Linked DNA regions of Medicago truncatula. The main gene of each other region encodes a partner of the protein of the gene in region 2 in a complex. Links are inferred from orthologs where the notes say so. Each region holds a gene or a part of one and is shown on either strand. Other genes may lie near its edges.

Evidence for each region. Proteins that work in one complex are often made in the same cells at the same time.
Region 1: general transcription and DNA repair factor IIH helicase subunit XPD (region 2) and general transcription and DNA repair factor IIH subunit TFB4 share a complex: the UniProt entries of both Arabidopsis thaliana proteins name them as parts of the 7-subunit TFIIH core complex. The link is inferred for Medicago truncatula from reciprocal best matches to the Arabidopsis thaliana genes UVH6 and AT1G18340.
Region 3: general transcription and DNA repair factor IIH helicase subunit XPD (region 2) and general transcription factor IIH subunit 2 share a complex: the UniProt entries of both Arabidopsis thaliana proteins name them as parts of the 7-subunit TFIIH core complex. The link is inferred for Medicago truncatula from reciprocal best matches to the Arabidopsis thaliana genes UVH6 and GTF2H2.

What each region holds. Positions count from the first base shown.
Region 1 is NC_053044.1:36,049,902-36,056,858, forward strand, and holds the start of general transcription and DNA repair factor IIH subunit TFB4, read left to right. Parts: upstream 1-3,877; 5' UTR 3,878-4,086; coding exon 4,087-4,483; intron 4,484-4,684; coding exon 4,685-4,731; intron 4,732-5,382; coding exon 5,383-5,420; intron 5,421-5,505; coding exon 5,506-5,551; intron 5,552-5,713; coding exon 5,714-5,767; intron 5,768-5,875; coding exon 5,876-5,944; intron 5,945-6,957. Other genes in the region: lysM domain-containing GPI-anchored protein 1, read left to right, coding at 1-196. UniProt on the Arabidopsis thaliana protein: Component of the general transcription and DNA repair factor IIH (TFIIH) core complex, which is involved in general and transcription-coupled nucleotide excision repair (NER) of damaged DNA and, when complexed to CAK, in RNA transcription by RNA polymerase II.
Region 2 is NC_053043.1:42,019,913-42,027,163, forward strand, and holds the start of general transcription and DNA repair factor IIH helicase subunit XPD, read left to right. Parts: upstream 1-4,239; 5' UTR 4,240-4,394; intron 4,395-4,512; 5' UTR 4,513-4,561; coding exon 4,562-5,095; intron 5,096-6,846; coding exon 6,847-7,127; intron 7,128-7,251. UniProt on the Arabidopsis thaliana protein: ATP-dependent 5'-3' DNA helicase, component of the general transcription and DNA repair factor IIH (TFIIH) core complex, which is involved in general and transcription-coupled nucleotide excision repair (NER) of damaged DNA and, when complexed to CDK-activating kinase (CAK), involved in transcription by RNA polymerase II.
Region 3 is NC_053048.1:41,896,849-41,904,906, forward strand, and holds the start of general transcription factor IIH subunit 2, read right to left. Parts: upstream 3,081-8,058; 5' UTR 2,845-3,080; intron 2,719-2,844; exon of another isoform or gene 2,389-2,718; 5' UTR 2,312-2,388; intron 1,788-2,311; 5' UTR 1,710-1,787; intron 1,269-1,709; 5' UTR 1,222-1,268; coding exon 937-1,221; intron 500-936; coding exon 38-499; intron 1-37. UniProt on the Arabidopsis thaliana protein: Component of the general transcription and DNA repair factor IIH (TFIIH) core complex, which is involved in general and transcription-coupled nucleotide excision repair (NER) of damaged DNA and, when complexed to CAK, in RNA transcription by RNA polymerase II.

The DNA of each region.
Region 1 (6,957 bases), on a different chromosome or scaffold from region 2:
ATCACTGTTCGACGGAACTGATGGGAGATCGCCCAAATCCTCAGTGGTGCCTTCAACAGGATTTACTCCTGCATTAGGCCCTAGTGGAATTTCTTCTGGTGCTTCTGCCGCATGCTCCTTGGTGAAACCATTACCCACTTTGACACTCACCCTTGTGTTATTATTTGTCAAGTTGATGATCCCTGTAGCATTGTAATCTTCCAATTTTGTGGTGGGTTTAATTATGTCTTTGCCACAGGTGCTCCTATCTATTGTAGTTGCTAGTATTCGTTTGTACTTTTTAACTGATTGTGAATCTGGAAAACTATGGGATTTCGGGTTTAAACTTACGCTTAGCCTTTTATTACTTTGTGTCTTGCTGAACTATTTTGTTCATCTAGGGTCAGTAATTCTAGGTGTAATCTGTTATCATTCATTCATAGAAGTTCCAAGAAATTGATGGTGGCGCCATTGTGCACACTTTGTAATCATTTATGTCTTTTGTGTCAACCCTCTGATTCCCTTGGTAATCCAGAGTTCAGCCGAGAGGTAAGCGAAGCCTGGTGGTGGAGGTAATCATGTTAATATGTTTCTCAACTGTGTTCTAGTATTTCTTCCTCTTTTTTTTAGGGAGTATTTCTTCCTTTTCTAATGCTTGTTTTGGTAGAATTTATTTTTCTTGGTTATTATCAAATCTTAAATAGCTTATTGCGCAACAATTTTCTGTTGCTTTGTCCAATTTAGGAGTGCAGCCTAATCAGTGTCGACCTAATACAGATAGTTTTTTAATTATAATTATATTCCTTTTTTGGTTTATTATGTGAAGGCAATAGAAAATGAAAGAGGCTAATATTGTGTAGAATTTTCTCTTTCTGAGTTTTGTTAGTTTAATTTGGTGAAGGATGAAAAAGGTTTATATAATATCCCCTCCTATTCCTACTAGCAGTTGAATTATTCATTTTGCGTTACTCCCACATAGGCTGTAAATTCTTCAATTATTATAGCATGAGATGGAATCTAACTAGAGAGCATATTGTTTGAAATAGCATCACAACATACCCAGAAATACACAAGTACTTCAGTTATTTATACCTAGAGTATTTGGTTTAAGCCTCTTTGTCTCTAATTTGATGAGTAAATGAGCCAATTTGTTCAACGAAATTTTAAAAATTGTTCAATTTTGTTTACAAATTTTGCATATAGACAAATATGTTCTCCAGTTTAGCACGTCAGTTATTTTTGACCATCCATCCATCATTTTTTTTTTATTAGAGGATATGAAGTTATGACAAGACATCCCAACGTGGAACAACACCGCAACTCAAAATACAAGCCACCACTTGTACTAAAAAATTCACATCCTGAAGCAAAATATAAATAAAGATGAAGAGGTAAGCACCAAATGTATTAGGGAGGATAATATAAGATTAAAGAAATTGAGGGTAATTTTGTTAATATAATAATTTATGTTTTAACATTCCCATTCTTCTTGTCCTCGTTAGCTTAGTTCAGTTGACAACAACAATTACTCTTAATTCCCTCCCTTTCACTCTTAAACAACTTGAACCAGCCAAATTTCATTTAAAATATCTTTTCCTCTCCAAAAATCTCCAAACGAACATACTCTAAATTGTCTTGAGTATTTTCTTAGCACAAATGACTTATCAAAAATCTATTAATTAACTTCACAAGACATCAACATTTTGTACTAAGTAATTTCATAAATTCGTTTTAACAAAATAATAATTTATAGGGGTGGATTCTAGGGTGAACCATCAACTAAGTGGTTCACCGACGGATCACTTTTGTACACCATTCGATTTAAATTAAAGGTTTAGATATGTTAGACAAAAAAAATGAGAACATAAGTATACTTCTGCACACTATCCTTGTTCATTTAAAAACCACCGTTTCCTTATAAAAAAAATCTCCTTTTACTTCACCCCTCCAATTCAAAATCTATGAACACCCTTTCTCGGATTTGGTTTTGATTGAAAGAGAAAACTCAATTCATAGTTTGAAATGACAATAAAAGGAATTAGGTTGATGCAATAAGTCACGTAACCCTTCTGAATACAATAAGGAAACAAAAATGTTGGATACGGGGTGAATAAGAATTATATTGTCTGAAATTAGAAGATGAAAAAGAAGAAATATATTTTATGTGTGTGTTTTTTATTGTTGGGAAACAAGAATGTGAAATAGTTGGTGAGGTACCATTAATGGAAAAGTGGAAGGATGAAGCCAGCGAGAGGGAGGAAGAGGGAAAAAATGATCTAGTGTAGGTGGTGTATGGTAGAATTTACGAGTGCGATGAATCCAATGGCTCTCAACTATTGCTCAAAATGGTCCACCGGTGAATCACTTATTTGATGGTTCACCCTGGAATCCACCATTTAAGGAGTTAGTTTTAATTTTTTTTTTTTACCAATTGATTATTATCTATACTATATAGGCTTAAATATGTAAAAGGTCCCTGTAAGTTCGCGTGTTTTTTGTTTTCGTCCCTGTAACTTTTTTTGTTCGAAAACAAACTCTGTAAGTTTGTTAACTTTTTGGTTTTAGTCCCTAACGTTAACTTCTGTTCAAAAAATGCGTTGCTGGCAAACGGAAACACGCATGGCGAAGGCTGAGTTGGCGTTAGTGGCTTACGTGGCCTGACAGATGATAAGTGACTATTTTTTAGGGACCAAAATCAAAAACGCAAATTTACAGAGGGACGAAATTGAAATAATGTAAACACCAAATTTTGAAATTTAAAAATTAGATCGTCTTCATCCATTTGTTTTCTCTTGTTGTTCTCCCTACCAATTTCTTCATCTCCCTAGAATGTTCTCATCAATAATGTCTGATTCTATAGTGGCATTGTTCTCATCAACAAAATCTCATTTCTTAAACATGTTCGTTCACATATGATCAAGATGGACCATTTCACTTTCATGCTTTGAAACAACAAGAGAAAATGATGAAAATGGCAGGCTGATGCTCCTTTTCAAAGCATGTTACTCCTATCTAACAAGTTATCAATAAGAAATTATAGACCATTATTGTACGGGAAATGGAACATGGCACTCTTGCCTTCATTGATAAAAATGGAAAGATCCAACCAAAAATGGAAATGATAAAACCCACAAGGACACTGGGAGAAATTATGAGATGCTTTGCAAAGAGAAGGTATGCCCAAAAGTACATGTGTGCAGATGTACATGTTTTTGAAGGTGCTATGTTTTTGGTTTTGGACCCTAAAAACTAGTCACTTATCATCATCTGTCAGGCCACGTAAGCCACTAACGCCAACTCAGCCTTCGCCACGTGTATTTTCGTTTGCCAGCAACACGTTTTTTTAACGGAAGTTTACGTTATGAACTAAAACTAAAAAGTTAACAACTTACAAGGTTTGTTTTAGAACAAAAAAAAAGTTACAGGGATGAAAATAAAAAACACGCGAACTTACAGAGACCTTTTACATATTTAAGCCTACTATATATAAAGAGAATAACTCATTTCAGCTCTTTTAGGTTGATTTTTTCTTTTCAAAATACCCTCAATTTTCAATACAAATAACACATGTAACAATTAGATAAGAATAAATTTAAATATTAAAATAAAAGTGTAATAAACTAGATGAGTGTATATATCCTTACTTTTTTCATTATCTCAATTATACCCTTAAACAACAAATTTTCTCTATAATAAAAATTGTTGTTGGTATCATTCAAAAAATAAGAATTTAAATTATATATTTTTTGTTATATTGTCGGTTTCATCAAAATAGATAACCATGATTAGTTTGATTTATTATAATTTAAAAGCTAAAAATATTTACATTAAAATTAAAATTTTATAAAAAGAAAAAAACACTGTTCACTATTTTTAGGCATAGTATAAGAATCAAAGAGTATTTAGAAGTGCACCCAAAGAAAGTAACCTGAGCAACCGATATCTTCCCTGCAACTGTGTAAGCAAGGATTTCTGACTGAAAACCTTCGAAGGCTTCTTTCCTTATTTTCAACACACTTACATAAAGGGTAACAAGGGAAGATGAGTTTGGTAAAGAAAATATGAAATCGAGAATCAATTGAGCCAAACGCAGACACAAAACACACGATGACTACTTCAGCTCCTTCAAAGAATTACGCAGATGACGTCAGCCTCCTCGTCGTCACACTCGACACCAACCCTTTCTTCTGGTCTTCTTTCCCCTTTCACTTCTCCGAATTCCTCTCTCAAGTTCTGGCGTTTCTCAATTCAATACTCCTCCTCGGCCAACTCAACCAAGTCGTAGTTATCGCCACCGGATGCAATTCTTGTTCCTACGTTTACGATTCCGCTTCTGATAAGAATCATGCTTCCACCAACGGTACAATGCCTGCCATTTATTCCAATCTTCTTCATAATCTCGATGAATTCGTCGCTAAGGATCAGCAATTGACTACGCCTCATCATAAACCTGGAACCATTCCTTCTTCACTCTTATCTGGAGCATTGTCCATGGCACTTTGTTGTATCCTTTTTTCTTTTTCATTATGTTTATTCACTTTGGTTACTGATTTTTCATGAAATTACACACTCTTTTTAATTGTTAGGGTTTTCAATTTGTTTTATTATTGCTTTTGTTGAAAATTGAAATTGAACTACAAATTATGTTGAATTTGAATCTGTAATGCATCCATGAAATTTTTGTTTGACCTGATTTCGTTATTAGATATACAGAGAGCTTTTCGTTCAGGACCCATGCATCCTCAGCCTCGGGTATGTATGTCTTTGCCTAATCATCAATTTGTTTTTGTATGGAATTTTATAGTACACTTGAATGTGATAACTGTAGTTGGATATGTTTGTCAAATATGATTGACTTAAGTATTTTATTGTGTTAATGTGGGTTGATAGTAGTGATATTAGAGCTGAATGACTATTGTTAAAATGATGTTCATTCAAGTTTGTCGAATGAAAGTTGATATTGTGGTGTTTTGGTTTTTTGAACACATTTTTGAATGAAAGCTGAATGACTATTGTTAAAATGCTATGTATTGTGTTCAGTCTCGTATCTACAAGTTTTTTACTTCACTTGTTAGTGTTAACAAACAAAATATGGTTATTGGTTTGATCCAAGATATATGGTTATTGACATCTGGTTGATTTTGAATTGGTTTAAATCGGAGTATCAAGTACACGATTGCTAAACACATTCCAATTCGCTCATAAGTCATATGATTGGCCATCTTTGTTTTTAAATTAATATATAGGCAGCTGTTCTTTTTATAAAAATCGTCATTGTTAGTATTTCCAGCTATTCTTTTTTTTTTTTTTGTGAATTTATATTTGACTTCATTTTTTTTACAGTTCATTTATAGTTTACATATTTTGGATAATTACTTTATTTATTTACTTATTTGTGAACAGATTCTATGTCTACAAGGATCTACTGATGGACCAGAACAGTACATACCTCATGATCTTTACATTTTATACTCTTAATTTCTGCATTTTTGTTTCACTTCAAATCACACTTTCCATCCTTTTCAGGTATGTGGCAATCATGAATGCAATATTCTCTGCTCAGCGTTCTGTAGTATGTACTCAATCTTAATTTTTTCTTTCATTGTTCCTTTATGATTGGTTTCTACCCTGGCTTTTTACTGCCTGTGACTTCAACAACATATATTTATATAATAACACAGAAGGATTGCTTGTTTTTATGTTGGTTACTTAGTGTATTATTTTGGCAATGCAGGTTCCTGTAGATTCTTGTTTTATTGGTTCAAACAATTCTGCATTCCTTCAACAGGTAGTTAAATTAAACAAACACACTGACACACCTACACACTTAATGAGTAGGTACTGCAGAATATGTTTTATTGACTCTTGTCCTTTATCTCTATATTATGTATGGCAGGCTTCATACATAACTGGTGGCATATATTACAGGCCTCCCCAAATGGAAGGGCTTTTTCAATATCTTTCAGTAAGTTTGTGTTTTAATTGGCGCATTTGACTGCCTTTTCAGTATCTTTCAGTAATTCTGTCTTAATTGACTCGTTCGCCCCAGGACTTGAATACATTTTTAAACGAGTATATATTAGTATTACAATTAAATTACCGTGGTTTAAGTTCATATTAACATTCATCGAATGCTCTCACTAAACACTAGATTTGTTTTGTAGCCTTAGCCTTGCTTATAATAAAATATTTTTGGAATCAGTTTACCTCTAAAACATAAGACTTCAAAATAACTGTGGTATAGAAACCCCTATGGCGGTGCAAGACAAAATAGATAATGCTGATACTAGTTTTCTCTGTTCACAAACTGATGTCTTAGTTATATACACCAGTAGAGAACAAGGTAATGACAGAGCCACCTCATACTTTGCTTTAAGATGGCAAACTCTTCTTATCAAGGTCTCAGTAGTTTATAATTAACTTCCAATACCGTCGTTACGAAAAGGCTGTGAACCTGAATGCCTTTAGAATACACAAGAAAAATGAATTAAATGTTCTTTTAGTGTTACAATGTGTCTTCCTTCCCTATAAGTTGTTTGACATAAAATTAGTTTAAATTCGAAAAGCGAACCTAACAGCTATTCAACAAATAAGTCATTAAATTATTGTCAAATCTCTATTTGATAGTACTTCAAGATGGACAATTTGTTTTTTCATTATTGGTGTGTGGGATTTTAGCTTACTTTTTCATGGTTGCACTTCCAGATAAGTTGGTATGCATGTGGTACAAACTGCATGTTGGAATCCTTTTTGGGTCAACATAAAATGTAGGAAAAAGTATTCAAAACCATCGAGCTCATTTTTGCATGTACCATGTAGCTCCTAGTCAAGGTAGTTAAAATTTAGATTTTACGCAAAATCGGAAGGGGAAGTAAAATCATAAATCGTGGATTTGTAACACTAATCTAATCATCATATTATACAAAATTCATAAAACTCATATAGGCAGGCTTCTAGTAGAAGAGAAAGAAATGAAAC
Region 2 (7,251 bases):
GCAACTTCATGTCAAATTATGAAGATTTGAGAGACGTCTTTTTTTCCCTCTAAATAGACTATAATGGGAAAGACAAAGTTTGGTATAACATCAACAATGACGAAGAAAATATGTTGTTGAAATTTATATGAAAGTGTTTTATTGTAAAGACTCTCACGAATTAGTATTCAAAGTCTTCATTTGTAAAGAATAACTGATTTCATTTGTAAACAAGCTTGAAACTGATTTCATTTTTGTAAAAATTTTGCTTGTTGAGGGAAAGCAAGTGTTCCGTAACAAGCACAAGTGGCATTGTTAAGAAGTAGAAGTATAGGTTGAGTTGAGGTGCAACCAGGAGACACTCTCAAGTGTGGTTCTTTCTCATCCCTTATTTTTGTTGTATTTTTTTTAACTAATGCATAAAAAAAACACTATCAACAATTTTAAAGACAAATATTTTCATCCAATCTGAAGTATTAGTTGCTTTATCATTCAGAAAGATTTTTAGAGAAACAATTTGAACTACAACTCAACTGTCCTTCCGGTGTTTATTTCTCTTGCTTTTATTTATGTATAATGAATAATATTTGACCATATTTAGTTAATGAGAGTAGGATTATTTGTTTATGGTTTGTACCAATTTATAATTCAATCACATTACATCAATTGATGATATCAAGAGAGGCATTTAGTGGGAATACCCAATTCCATACTAATCATGAGTTCACAACTTACATTAAAAAAAAACTCCACCAATTTGGTACTTATTATTTAACTATGTGGATTAAAAATATATATATATATATGACTCAAGCCCTATTTTTTTTAGTTACCATGATATTGATATGAAGTTTTCATCGTTATTTAATAGTGATTAATATCCGTCGATAAATATGTGGGATACAAGATAAATTCTTTCGTTCCAACCAAATTTTCTTCATATACAAAGTGGAACTCAAACCCTACTTTTACTATTTAAAATGAAATACATTTTCCCTAAAGCTTTCTTTTAGTGCAAGAATATACCAATTTGTTATTATAAAATATGATGATTAAGATTTAGTTCATTTCAATAATTTTTTAAATACATACATATGAATATTTATTCAGTTTAAGCATATCATCAATCATATATTTAAAATAACAGTACAATATATAGCTCTATGATATCATATTTTCTATTTATTCATTAAACTAACTAATTGAAATTATTCATTGAAGTTGTTGTTCTTGATATCTATTACGAGCAAACAAAGGTAACAATACTTGCATGATAATATATATAATAATAATAATAATAATAATAATAACAACAACACGATTTTCAGTTTATCAAAAGAAATTGAAATATCATAAAAGCATGAGTCAAAGTGTGAGAATTTCATAATAGTAAAAACATTATGACAGACACATCAAATTATAAGCTAATCAAAAGCAACATAGAATTATGTATAAATAAATTGTTACGCGGACAAGCAGTAACATTTTTTCCCAACACAAGTCGGAAATTTATAATTGAGACATACATCCTTTGCACAATCCATATTAGTTTTGCAGGGGATTAAACCTGTATTTTAAAAGGAGTACATGAATGTTACTAGAAGATGATGGAATATTTTTCATATGATAAAGAAGAAATATTGAAATTTGTGTGAACATGGACTTACTATGTTGACCTAGAATTACGGAAATCATGATGATGAAAGCATAAACAATTTTTTGAATTTCAGCCATATTTTGTCTCTTTAATTTGCATGTAATTAACAAACAACTTTTTTATCACTTTAAAAGCAAAACACCTCATGCTTTAATAATTTTAATAAAATTGGTTTTATCCCATGGGAAGTTGCAAGGAATCATTCATATAATCAACATTATTATAAATGCCTCTTCGGTACAATAAGGTGTCATATGTTGTGTGAAAATGTGATGTGCAAGTATACACAATTGTAACAAGTAATAATATGAACGTAGAGATTGATCCCATGAGGATCGAGAATTGATTAGTTCGAGCCAGCTATCAACGGTTTACCGAGTTTGTTGTTAACAAGAGGGTAAAAAAAATTATTTTGGAATTTCAATAGTGTTCAAGTTAAAGGTAAAAGACCCCTCAAAAAAAAAGTTAAAAGTAAAAGAGTTAAAACAACTAATTTTGAAAGAAATACCAAGCACATAGATGACTAGTATTCTGTTTTCCAAAAATGTTAAAAGAAATACAATGCATGTTTTAGTTCAACTATTTTGTTTTCAATAGACTAGTCCTCTAGGGAAATATATTGGGGTCCCTTTGATTGGAGAAACACCAAAGTGAAATGACTATCAATATTTGTTAGATCAAGATACGAAAGGTAAATATGACATGGGTACTAATGTGGGAAATGTTGTGATAGCCAAAGCTACAGATTCGACCTTGTGGAAATCGTTGGTTAGATTATGGCCAAATTTCGCTTGGTTTAAATTTATATCTATAAGTGATGGTTAAGATCCGGAGGCTTGGAATCATAACTGGAGCATTGCAGATGTTCATGTGTTGGTTGATACAGGATGTTTAAGGGGTTGTCGCTAAAGTAAGGGTTTTAGGCCCCTAAATTTTTTAGGTCTTATTCGACCCTCGACTATTTTTCGCTTTAAATATATTTTCTTGGGTCAAATTATTTTTAAGGTTTAAGAATAGGTAAATAATGTTTATATTGAATATTATTTTCAACATATATTATTAGTTGAACTAAATTTTTGTTTTTAAAAAGGTTTTGCATTAATTGGGTTGAGTCTGATTGAAAAAGTTTAGAATCTAACAACCTGATGAATCAATATTCGAATCAATAGAATCTGATGAATTGATCGGAAGAGTTTTTACTCATTAGACTCTTAACGGACAATTTAACGACAAGGATGAATTAATGAGATCCCTTATGTTACTAGTGCAGAGGTGAGGTGGAGTCGACATTACATGTTCATATGCAACTCCAAAATCAATTTTATTCAGTCAACTTATCATAGTGGGTTATAACTAATTAAGGTTATAAAGTGAATTGGAATGTGTTTTGGGCAATGACATGTCATTATATTTGGCTTTGGCTTAATAGAGAGGATCACAACGAGAACGCAACACATCCGACGTCATCTTGGGTACAAGCATTCAAACTAACTAGAGAATGTGTTGAGGTGAGCAAGACAATTGGAACTCATGCATTTAGCTCTCGAATCTCAAGTTTTGTTGCAATGGATTCCTCCTCCCATGGGTTAGATGAAATTCAACATGGACAATGTTTGTAAAGGTGGAGGGCTCAGATAATGTGGCGTTGTATTTCGAGGACCTCACGACAAATGGATTTGGATTGTATGTTGTACAAAAGCACACAATTTCACATATCTATTGATTTTAGATCAGACGGTTCAGATTACGTATTATCAAAAACAACTATAAACGATCTCAAACATCATTTTTAGATTGGAAAGCTACTACAAATAATTGTGTGACGCGGTTACTGAGTCAAATCCAATTCACACGACGAATGGTGTTTGCAAAAAGACTTGAGTAATGTAATGCAATTATTGTCGAGTTGTGGAGGATTATTGAGGAGCTTTACCCATCCAACAAGATTAGCTTTCACGTTGTAGAGTATTTTATGGATTCAAAAGTAATGACTATTGCTATCTACGGTAAGTAAAGTATTTTTGTGGCATGTGTATTTTTATGACAGGTAAAAGATTGACTCAGAAGTCACAATTTATCATGAGAATTGTGGTTGACACATATGCATTGGCTGAGAGACACAAGTAATTTACCCAAATGCCCTTCGGCAGTTAACTGCCGAATTATGGAATCGGCTGCAGTTAACTACCGAGGAAACCTCAAATTTGTTTTTTTTATTTTTCACAAAAATTATAAATTGTTATTAATAATATTTATTGATTCTGAATGTTTGAATCATTATTTTGGTACGTTTATAAGGCTTAAATGCACTTTTGGCCCCCTATATTTGCCGTCGTAGCAATTTTGGCCCCCTAACAAAAAAAATGCAATTTGAACCCCCTAATTTTGTCATGTTTCGGAAAATATGCTCTTCTGACCCCTTATCTTTGCAAAAATGTTGTGACTTTGACCCCCTTTTTTGGGACACATGGCGACTTCTCAACATAGTTGCGAAAATTAGGGGGCCAAAATTGCTACGACCGTAGTACGACGGCAAACATAGGGGATCAAAAATGCATTTAAACCTTAAAACAATTGCATGATTTAAAAAGTGATTATTTTTACTCTCAAAAACCCTCTCACTCTCATCACCTTAACCTTTCTCTCAAAAAAACACACTCACTTTCGTCGCCAATCTTAATCTCGCACCGTATCTCTCACCCTCCGCCGCCGCGATTTCACCGTCGCGCCGTGTGGATCCATCAAAGCCACCGTACCGGTAAGTACTTCTCTTTCTTCCTTTTCACGTTTCTCATTTCAATCTCCGTGATTTCTGATTTCTTATATATGAATCACGTTTCTGAAATTTCCATTTTTCATTACATTCCTGAAATTAGGTTACGATTTTGATCAATATTTCTGAATTGTAGAAGAAGAAACAAAAAAATGAAGTTCAAAATCGAAGAAGTAACAGTGTATTTCCCCTATGACAACATATACCCCGAACAATACGCATACATGATTGAATTAAAACGAACCCTAGATGCAAAAGGACATTGTTTACTTGAAATGCCGACCGGAACGGGAAAAACCATAGCTTTACTGTCACTAATCACAAGCTACACACTCTCAAAGCCTCAATCACCAATCAAGCTTATTTATTGCACTCGAACCGTTCACGAGATGGAAAAGACTTTAGCTGAATTGAGACTGCTTCATGATTATATGGTTAAATGTATTGGTCCGTCTGCGAAGATGCTTGCGCTTGGATTGTCTTCGAGGAAGAATCTTTGTGTTAATAATAAAGTTCTTGCTGCTGAGAATCGTGATTCGGTTGATGCTGGGTGTAGGAAATTGACTGCTAGTTGGGTTAGGGCGCTTGCTGCTGAGAATCCGGATGTTCCTTCGTGTGAGTTTTTTGAGCAGTATGAAAGAGCTGGGTCTGCTGCTGTTTTGCCTCCTGGTGTTTATACTTTGCAGGTATTTCAAATTTAGTTTTGTTCGTTGGATTTTTATAGGCTTTGATTATTTTGTAATCTTTATAAAGTTATAAAAATTGATTTTTTACGATGTTAGGTTGTTTTCAAATGCTCGAATTTTATAGCCTTTGGATGATATGCTATTCTTAAATGTATAAAGTTTTTATAGAAGTAAAATAAATATTGATTTTTATGGTGTTAGGTTATTCTGGAATGCTTGATTTTTGTGAGTGGGGTTGAATGTTCAGTGTTGGAGACTGTGTTCTGATTTCTAAATGTTTGATGGATACTGTTTTCTCATTTCTAAATGTTTGAATTCGAAGTGTGGTTGATTTTGATGATGTTTGCTGATTTTGGAATGTTTGATTTGATATTTTTTCAGTGGAGTCGAGTGTTCGGTTTTGGATGTTGTTTTCTCTGATTCTTAAATGTTTGAATTTGAAGTGTGGTTGATTTTGATGATGTTTACTGATTTTGGAATGCTTGATTTGATTTTTTTTTCTTCTTTTCTGGTGGGGCTGAGTGTTCAGCATAGTATAGCAGCCGCGCCGCCTGCTATTGCGGCGTGTAGTGGACTTTTAGATCCCAGCGCTCCCAACCGCGTCGGAGCGGTGCGAAAGTGAGAAGCGGCCGCAACGGCCGATATAGCGGGTATCGATTCGAAGCAGCGTGTGTCAACGCGTCCGCTACCATCTTCAATGACAGGTTCTCTGCCTTTGTCAACCTAAAGTAGTGCAGTAATGTATCTTCGAAGAAGCGAAGAGCTATAAAGAAAAACCGACGGATGATGAAGAGAAAATGGTTATAGAATAAGAAGGATTGAAGAGACGTAGATCTAGAGTTCAGATGGATGGTGGCTGGCGGCGGCTATGTTTGTATAGAATAGAAAGAGGAGAAAAAACTTGGGTTTGGTTATTTCACTTTTTATATAGAGTATTGGGCTAGGCCCATAGTGATATAACGTGGACTCAATCAATCTATTTCTGCTTTGGACTTCTTTTTTTCTTTTTTTTTTTGGTTACAACTTGGACTGTTTAATGATCATTAAGTCTTTTTCTTTCCCTTTTTTTTGGCTAGTTACTAGTGAAAATCAGTTAATTATCTTTAACTTCTCATTTATATTAATACTGCACCGCACCAATTTTTGGGTTGGCCGCGCCGCGCCACATTTCTGCATTGACAACTATGGTGTTCAGTTTGAATTCAAACCATAAATGACTGAAATTTTGAGATTTAGATGTTTCTTGATTTGAAAGTGGTCAAACTTTGAGTGTAGTATGGCTGTCACAGTCTTTATTCTGGAACTCTGTGGTTACAAGAAGTTTTGCTTCTGCTTGAGGTAATGCTGTGTTTAGCTTGACTTTGTATTTGCTTGCACCAACCGTGCCTCACTTGTGTTTGGTGTGGTGTCTTATTATTAATTCATTCACTTTGCCTTTTCAAATTTTGATTTAGATAGTTTTTGGAGTTTTCCTATTCTAAAATGTTTGTATCTATATGCGTGATTTTTGGAAAACTTCCATTTTGATTGCTTTCCGATGTTCTTGGATTCCAAGATGCCGGAATTTTTGTGGGTTTGACTGAACAATCTGATTTTGAGCAGTTTTGGTTGTTTCTTGGTGTTAAGATTTAAGACTTTCAAAGGTTGACATAATTTTGATTTTTATTCATTTTTAGTTGTTCTATGGTTTTGCATTTTGATATGACCAGACCTTTTAAAATGTTTGAATCTGAATGTGTATGTGATTGTAGGATCTGAGAACGTTTGGGAAGGAGAAAGGGTGGTGTCCTTACTTTTTAGCGCGGCATATGGTCCAGTTTGCCAATGTGGTGGTCTATAGTTATCAATATTTGCTTGATCCAAAGGTGGCTGCCATAATATCCAAGGAAATGCAGAAAGAATCAGTTGTTGTATTTGATGAAGCTCATAATATTGATAATGTTTGTATCGAAGCACTTAGTGTGAGTGTGAGGAGGCAGACTGTTGATGGTGCTAGAAGAAATATAAATAGAATGCGTCAAGAAATTGACAAGTATGTGTCGTTTCTAGCTTTCTCCGCTTGTTTTGTGATTTAGATTTTGCAGTGGCAAATTCAATAGTGAACAAGGGGGCATAATTAGGTAAAAAAATGGGGGTTCTAGTGATTGCAATAAATT
Region 3 (8,058 bases), on a different chromosome or scaffold from region 2:
AGAAGCTACATGGTTCAATCATAATCAACAAACTAACCTCATCTAGTGCAACTGAATACGTTCCTCCAGTTTCTTGGCAAAGATGCTTGCATATAAACATTTCAGCAGCAAGACCAATGACCGAGCATCTTATTTTACTCTTTTTGCATTTTTGGATAGTTTCCATGAGATCACCAGGATCACATGTACTGAGGGCCGAATATAAAATCAGAACTTCTCGATGACCATATGATGGGATTTGATTTAGATTGCTATGAACAAGTTCTAGTGCATTTTGTAGGGAGGCATCACCTGAGCATTCTAGTTTACCCATCAAAGCTTTGATGTGTGACTCAGGACTGCCGCCAAGATCTGTCAAGCAATTAGCAACACCATCTTTGGTAGTCACCAAACCAACATGACTAAGTGGATTCTGATCAAAGAACTCCCTGATAAATAACTCAACCTGCTTTGCAATCACAGCCATTCTACTTGGTCGAAAGTCCCTCTCTGAAGCTGCCTTCACATGACGTAAGAAACTGAATTATGTTACAAGGCAAGAAATTCGAAAGACATATATGTTATTAAGTGTTAATACTGATATTGAATAAGATACTGGTAATTGTAGGATCATAAGCAATTTCATATATAATTACAGGTATAAGAACTGCTCTTCATGAAAATCAGTGTGACTATGATTAGCTATTAAGTGCTAGCTTATTGAACAAGTTAGATGTACTTCTAAAGGAAAAGGATAAAATTCAAAAAACATTTGCAAAAGGAAATATAGATAAGACAATGGAAGAAAATTAAGTAAATTTAACTGCCATTGATTTGTGAAGTGTTCCAACATACCCATCCTCTAATTGAACCCCAATTTTCAAGTAATCAATACAATGGTCTATGACAAATGACTTAGACACAAACACAAAAATTATAAATTAATAAAACCAATACCTTGGACAGGTCCACAACAATGTATAAGTATCGTATCAAACCCTTTTGAATTCGCGCAGTAGCTGCATTTGAAGCAAGGGCGCGGAGGCGTCTACGATACTGGGCATGATGAATGGCTGTCGTATCTATGGGACGAAGAAGTCCAGATTCATCTTCCTGCAAAGACTCCCATGATCTATCTTCTGTATAAGCTCTCTCCCACGCTTCAAGGCCATCATCATTAGCTTCATCTTCATCATCATCCTCTAAATCTCCATTAAGCGGTTTCCCAGCAATGTTATTCATGATTTCTTGCCGAAAAGATGCAGTAGTTAATTAACCAAGTGATGAAGCTGCAACGGTAAATGAATTATTTTATCATATATAATTCAATAAAGATAATTTTGGAACACTAAATGAAATGTACAGAAACATCAGCACTTATAAGATCATGAAAACAAAAACTGTAATGATTTAAACATAATGTATAATTAAAAAAGCGAGGTGTTTATTATTGGGAAAGTAACTAAATTATGATGATCAATTGCGGCACACCATAATCATACTCTCGTTAAGGCATTTAATCAAACAGGTTGAGTGTACAAAAGGAAATAGGAAAATAGCAAGTTCAAACTACTTGTACACTAAACCTGTTTGATTAAATGTCGTAACCATTGTTAATTAGATTAGATATTGATAAGCCTTTTTTCACTATCTACTTGGTATCGCGAATTAGGGATTGGATTTGGAAATTTTATTGTTGAGAATGAGATGCTTAGGATTAAAAGCCGTACCTCAACGGTGGTCGGAGAAGCTGAGTAGCAGCACACCAAATCAAAGGGGACACGTTGACAGCAGTGGCGGAGCCAGACCTAAAATTTTGGGGTGGCAGCTTTAAAAATAAACTAAAATATATAAATCATATAATATACAATACGACCCATTTCGGTGTCGTTCATAAAAAATTTCAACAAAATAATACTAAAAACCGATCATCATATTCAAAGTGATGCTTTACGCATCCCGACTTTTCATCTTAACTTTTCCTGTTGAAACAGTTTCAAAATCAACTAACAATACATGGTTTCAATGTTACATCAATTCTAATAACATTCAAATTTCATAACAATAGCCGGTTTCAATTTCATTGAAATAACATAAATGATTTCAAAATGAACCAATTTCACTTGATTTTCATAAACAGAAGACGATGATAGCTGAATTCAAAAGTTGAGCCAGGTTTGATAGATCTTTCTGATGGAAAATGCCATAAATGTTGCTACTTTTCATGACAAGTTGCTAGGACATGCTAGTCATATACAGAAAAACCAAACACTATCAAAAATAGAGGAAGATTAGCTCATCTAGGCATGCTAGAAGTTGAAGATATGCTTACATTTTTTTGAATCAAATAAGCTTACATTTTCCATCTTTTCCACCTCTACTATTTAGGATTATTGATTACGTCCTCCTCTCAAAGTCATTGCCATACATGATTAAAATTGGCAAAGGAAGTAAGTTAACTTTTCTTAATTACCTATAGTAACTCTAAAACAATTTGACTAGTTATCAGGCTTTCATATTCTACTATTGTTTGACAATTATTTAAAACCGAGGCTTTCAATTGGAATTCGTCTCTCACACTCAATACAATTATTTAAACACAAGTAACAGTTCAGTAGCAATCAGAGTTCATGTTCTAAACCATAATAATAAGCAGAACATTCATGTCTTCTGTAGTAATCAGTAGCAATCGAAAACTAAAAAAATTCAATTTCACATTCAATTTCACATCACTAAATCATTAAAGACACATACACAATTACAAATCATTACCAGAATATTACATTCAATTTCACATTACTCAAGAACATGTAATTATCAAATCAGAATCAGGATTGAAGGAAATTACATTCAATTTCACATTACCTTACAAGTTACAACAATTAGGGTTTGTGGAGAGAGATGGATGGAGATAGCTCTCTAAACTAAAGAATCAATACAGAAGATTGAGGGGGGGTGCGGCGGTGATGGATGGAGAAGGAGAAGAGTGGTCGCGGCCCGCCGGCAGTGGTGTGGTGGTGGATGTTGTTCGGTGGTTTTGCTTTCGCTGGGAGAAGAAAAAAGAGGAACGCGCATCAGATGAAAGAGAAAGGGGAAAAGGAAATGAAATTGAATTGGTAATATTCATATTAGTTAAGGGCATTATAGTAATTTCCAGTGTCATTGAAAAACAAGAAAAGCTTGTTTTAACTTATTTTTTATTGAAAAAGATGCTGCTTTTTCACATTTTAAATCCTAGCCTTTGATTAATTTTTTTCCACGTGTCACTCATCTATCAAAGGAATTGGGAAATTGTGCTCCATCCGTCTCAAAATAAGTAAGTCATTTGCTCATTTGGCTGTTGTACGCGTACTTCTTATGGATAGTTCGTGAAGGCACAACCAAGATGGCAGCAATCACATATGACAGTTCTTGAAGGTGAGGCAATGGCGCTATTAGAAATCATATGGTTTGCAGAACAAAACGGATGGGAAAAAGTTGTTTTCAAGTCTGATTCGGCTACGGTGGTGAATGCCTTGTCGTCCCATCGTCGCGGTGATTCTAAATTTTAGGCTATTATTTCTTGTATTATTGCTAAGTTAGTTTTACATTCCAATTTCAAGTTGAAGTTTATTAGGAGACAAGCAAATATGGTCGCTCGTACTTTAGCTAGGGCGACCTATTCTTCGGCTAGTCGCCGTGTTTTTGAGTTCTATCCTCCATGTATTGAACAATATGTAATTAATGATATTAGTTGATTTTGCTTCGGTAAAAAAAGTGCCATTGTCAAATATTTGTGCATTTGTTGTGATCATAAAAGCAAAGTGAAAAATATTGAATTGAGAGTGATGAAATTAGTATTAATTATAGTGATGAAATTGTCACTTGACCCACTTGTTCGAAATATTAATAGAATATAACATAGATTTCGAATAGTAAGAAAAAAATATAAGAGAGTTTTGAAGTGTGTGGTCAAAACTATTACCTTTAAAGTAAATTTTCGATGGACCTCCGATGCAACTTAATATTCAATTTTGCTCCTCAAGATTTACACATCTTTGTGTTTGAACATGTGCACTCAAAGTGTAAACACATTGGAGCTTCGCAAACTGTTATGATACATGACATCCATGGAATGAGAATGAATATTATTGCAAATGAGAAAGTTATCGAGTGGTTACAAGCTATTTATGCTATAATCTACTATGACTAATATGGAACTATTTATCCTCCAAATTGGAGAACAACCAATGGCTGAAAGATGCTTGAATCCATCCATTTGATAGCCTCTAAACCATAATCCAAAACACGGCAGAAGCAGCAACAAATTTTTCTGATGCTCCCTTCCACAGACAAGAGGATTCAAATACATGGTTGAATTGGACAAATAGTTGTTGCAATACACACCACTAACAGAAAGGTAATATAAACTCCAAGACTATAGAAAAGTTATCCGAGAGTGGTTCCCGGAGAAGAGTTGATAAACTTCATATTTTTAATTTTTGTTGTCTTTCTCATACTATGAATTTGAGTTAGCCGATTGAATAACATTATAAGTAGTTCATATAAGCTTAGTAAATGGGAAAAAGAAATTTCTCAGTAAGTGTATAGTTCTGGCTAACTTCTGAATCTCAATCATCCAGTTATAGTGATGAGTTTCGTCCAAATTTCAACTTATATCAATCTCAGTTATTTATAGTTATACACGATGGGTCACCTTAAACCATCCTCATGCTATCATATAATAAACATGGAACAAATTAATATAATTTAGGCTAAAATATGGTTTTAGTCCCTGCAAATATGCCTCGTTTTGATTTTAGTCCCTGGTAAAAAAAAAATTTTGTTTTTGGTCCCTGCAAAATTTTTTGTTTTTGAAAATAGTTTTTCAAAAACAAAAAATTTTGGGAGGGACTATTTTCAAAAACAAAAAATTTTGCAGGGACCAAAAACTACAAAATTGGTTCAGTTATAATGTGCCACGTATGCAAATCATCACAAAAGTGGGGTCAGGAACTATTTTCAAAAACAAAAAATTTTGCAGGGACCAAAAACAAAAATTTTTTTTACCAGGGACTAAAATCAAAACGAGGCATATTTGCAGGGACTAAAACCATATTTTAGCCTATAATTTAACATCCAAATCAAAATTTTAGAACGAAAAAAGTGACGGATACCATTCTCAAACACAAAAGCTATACAATTCTATTCTATACCAAGAGAAACGAATCCATGCAATAATCTACTACTAAGGGTGTGTTTGTTTCAGAGGGATAATTTTGAGTTAAAATGACTCTAAATCACTCTTCAATGTATCAAGAAAAAAAATGGTGACAGCTAGATTTGTTAAGGAGAAAAGAGAGAAAGGTATAAATTACTATTATTAGAGAAGTGATGTTTTTTACGAAGACGAAAATTAAGAATCAAACGCATTGATGTTTTAAAGAAATGGAAAACTGATTAGTCCGAATTTGGTGGACATCACAGTTGTGTATTGATGAAAATGAACGACAAACAAGAAGTCGTAGTTTTTCTCGATTATCACTCACCTTAGATTATCTACAACAGAGCATCTTAAACTGAGTGCTTAAATTAATTTTATATGTTAGACATCACTTATTTTATGGTAATACTTAATAAACACTCATTTTCTCCAACCCATCACCTTAAAAGAAATTACTAAATAGGTCCTATGAATTATTTTATATAATTACATTTCAACAAAATTTATTTATTTTATTAAGATTTATTAAAAGAGACCCATAAAAAATGAAGAGAGAGAGGGTGCTTCCATAGCCACCATTCTCTATAGCCATCCATATATTATACTCCACAATGAGGGTGCCTATTTAATATGGTGCTAAATAGATGAAACACCCACCATTGTGGATAGTCTTACTTTTATACTATATATAACTACTTACCAACTAAGCATCCTACCCTATTTTTGAATTTACCGTATATTCTAGTTAGACTATTTATTATACTCCACAATGAGGGTGCCTATTTAATATGGTGCTAAATAGATGAAGCACCCACCATTGTGGATAGTCTTACTTTTATACTATATATAACTACTTACCAACTAAGCATCCTACCCTATTTTTGAATTTACCGTATATTCTAGTTAGACTATTTATTATTATCTTCCTCTGACAATAATGTCTTATTTGAGTTTTACACAGTTATTAAAGAAATAATTAATAATGTTGATTTTAATGGTAAATTATCATCTACTAAAACATCTTATAATTATAGTTAGTCGAATAGCTATAGATGATTGAAATGTAATAAATAAGAGTATGTTAGTGGAAAAACGTAATAAATGTTGTATTGATATTGCAAAAGGGACAAATAATCTAAGACAAGTTTTTTAAAAAAGATAACACATATTATGAGATGGAGGGAAAACTTTATATCCCTTTTCAATACCTTTACTCATTATCTTGTTCGATCATGTAAACATACATTCTCTTCGTGAATATAGGAAGTTAATCAACATTTGATGAAAGACCCAAACAATCCTTTCATTTCACTTTATTATTGTCATCATATTTCATTTCACTTTAAATATGTTGATTGAAGGCTTTAGGGTATTGAAATGGGATCTACAAGGAAGAAAGTTGGATTTGTGTTTTCTCTACATTTTCTCTATTTCTTTTTCTCTTATGTCTCTCAGTTCTCTATCTGATTCAACATTTTTTGCCTCGCTTTTTTGGTTCACTCCATTTCCTCTAATTTATACTAAAAATATTAGCTAAAGTGTGAGGAAAATGCCAAAATCAAGGCAGGTGGACTTGTAACAGAATGTATGCAGTGTTGAAATTGCAAGGTAACATGTTGGTTAGGAGACCAAATTGCAAATGCAGTGTTACAGTTACAAATTTGCAGCAACTGAGATGCTTAAGTATTTTCATAAAAATGGAAAAAGAAAAAAGTTAGTAAAAAAGAAGTTTCGGAGCGATGCTGAAAATGTAACGAGATCGACACTTTATTTTTAATTTGTTATCAACATCCAACAGATCGACACTTTATCCGTAAAGTTTAAAAATAATCACACTTGATATAAAATTGTCTTCTCATGTCTCTATTTTACTATGGATATTACCTAAATCACATCAATATGTTACGACATACATTGCACTTATAATGACACTAAACTTAACAAACTTAAAAATAATTTAAGACTCAAGTAAATAATTAATCTGTTGAACTTATTCATGATTCGAAATTAGTCGAATGTGAGCTTAAAATTGAGCTAGTTAAATAAATGAATTCATAGTAAACTTGAAATTAATTGGATCAAAAAAATTGGGTACAACTTTTGGATTATGGTTTGCTTGTTTGTTTGATATGCATGTAGAATGACATTGTATGAACAAGTTTGATATCCGTGGGACATTAAAGCGAGGGAGGGATCGTTCGTTTCTTCAATTCAATTGATAGTTTGATACCAAAACATAGTACAAGGAGGCCTTTTTATAGGATAATGTACTTAACAATTAGGGTAGGAGCTTGTTAATATTTTTTCTTAATGAACAAGTATTATGATTTTGACTACTTCTCAATTCTTCAAAGTAGTTCTTGTTCCAAGTTCCAACATGGTTGTAGTTGAAGTAATGGATTTGCAATGTTTAGACGTTGCCTATGTTTTTTTTTTTACCTCAATTAAACTGGTTTTTTTTCTTTGATGTGTAAAAATCGTGGTAATCCATATAACAGATTGCGTATTCTTAGAGTGTGTTTTAGATACACTCTTGTAAATGTGCTCAAATGAAGTAATAAAAATAGCTTATGACATATACTCACTTTCAATATATAAGCTCTTATTATGCAAGCTCTTTACACAAACACACTTTTAGTCGCTTGTCATTTGACTCACTTTCGCCGTGGAGATACTTCTTAGATATTTGCTCATGGTTCCTATAAAGAAATCGTGTTTGTTTCTGTAACATTTGATTTTAGACAGTAAAATACTGCTCAACCTTTATGTTGCTAACATTGAGCATTTGTTATACTTGTGTCCTTCATATATGGTAATAACAAACCTTTTTAATTTGGGATTTTATGTCTTGAAGTTGTTAACAGTTATTTCTTTAT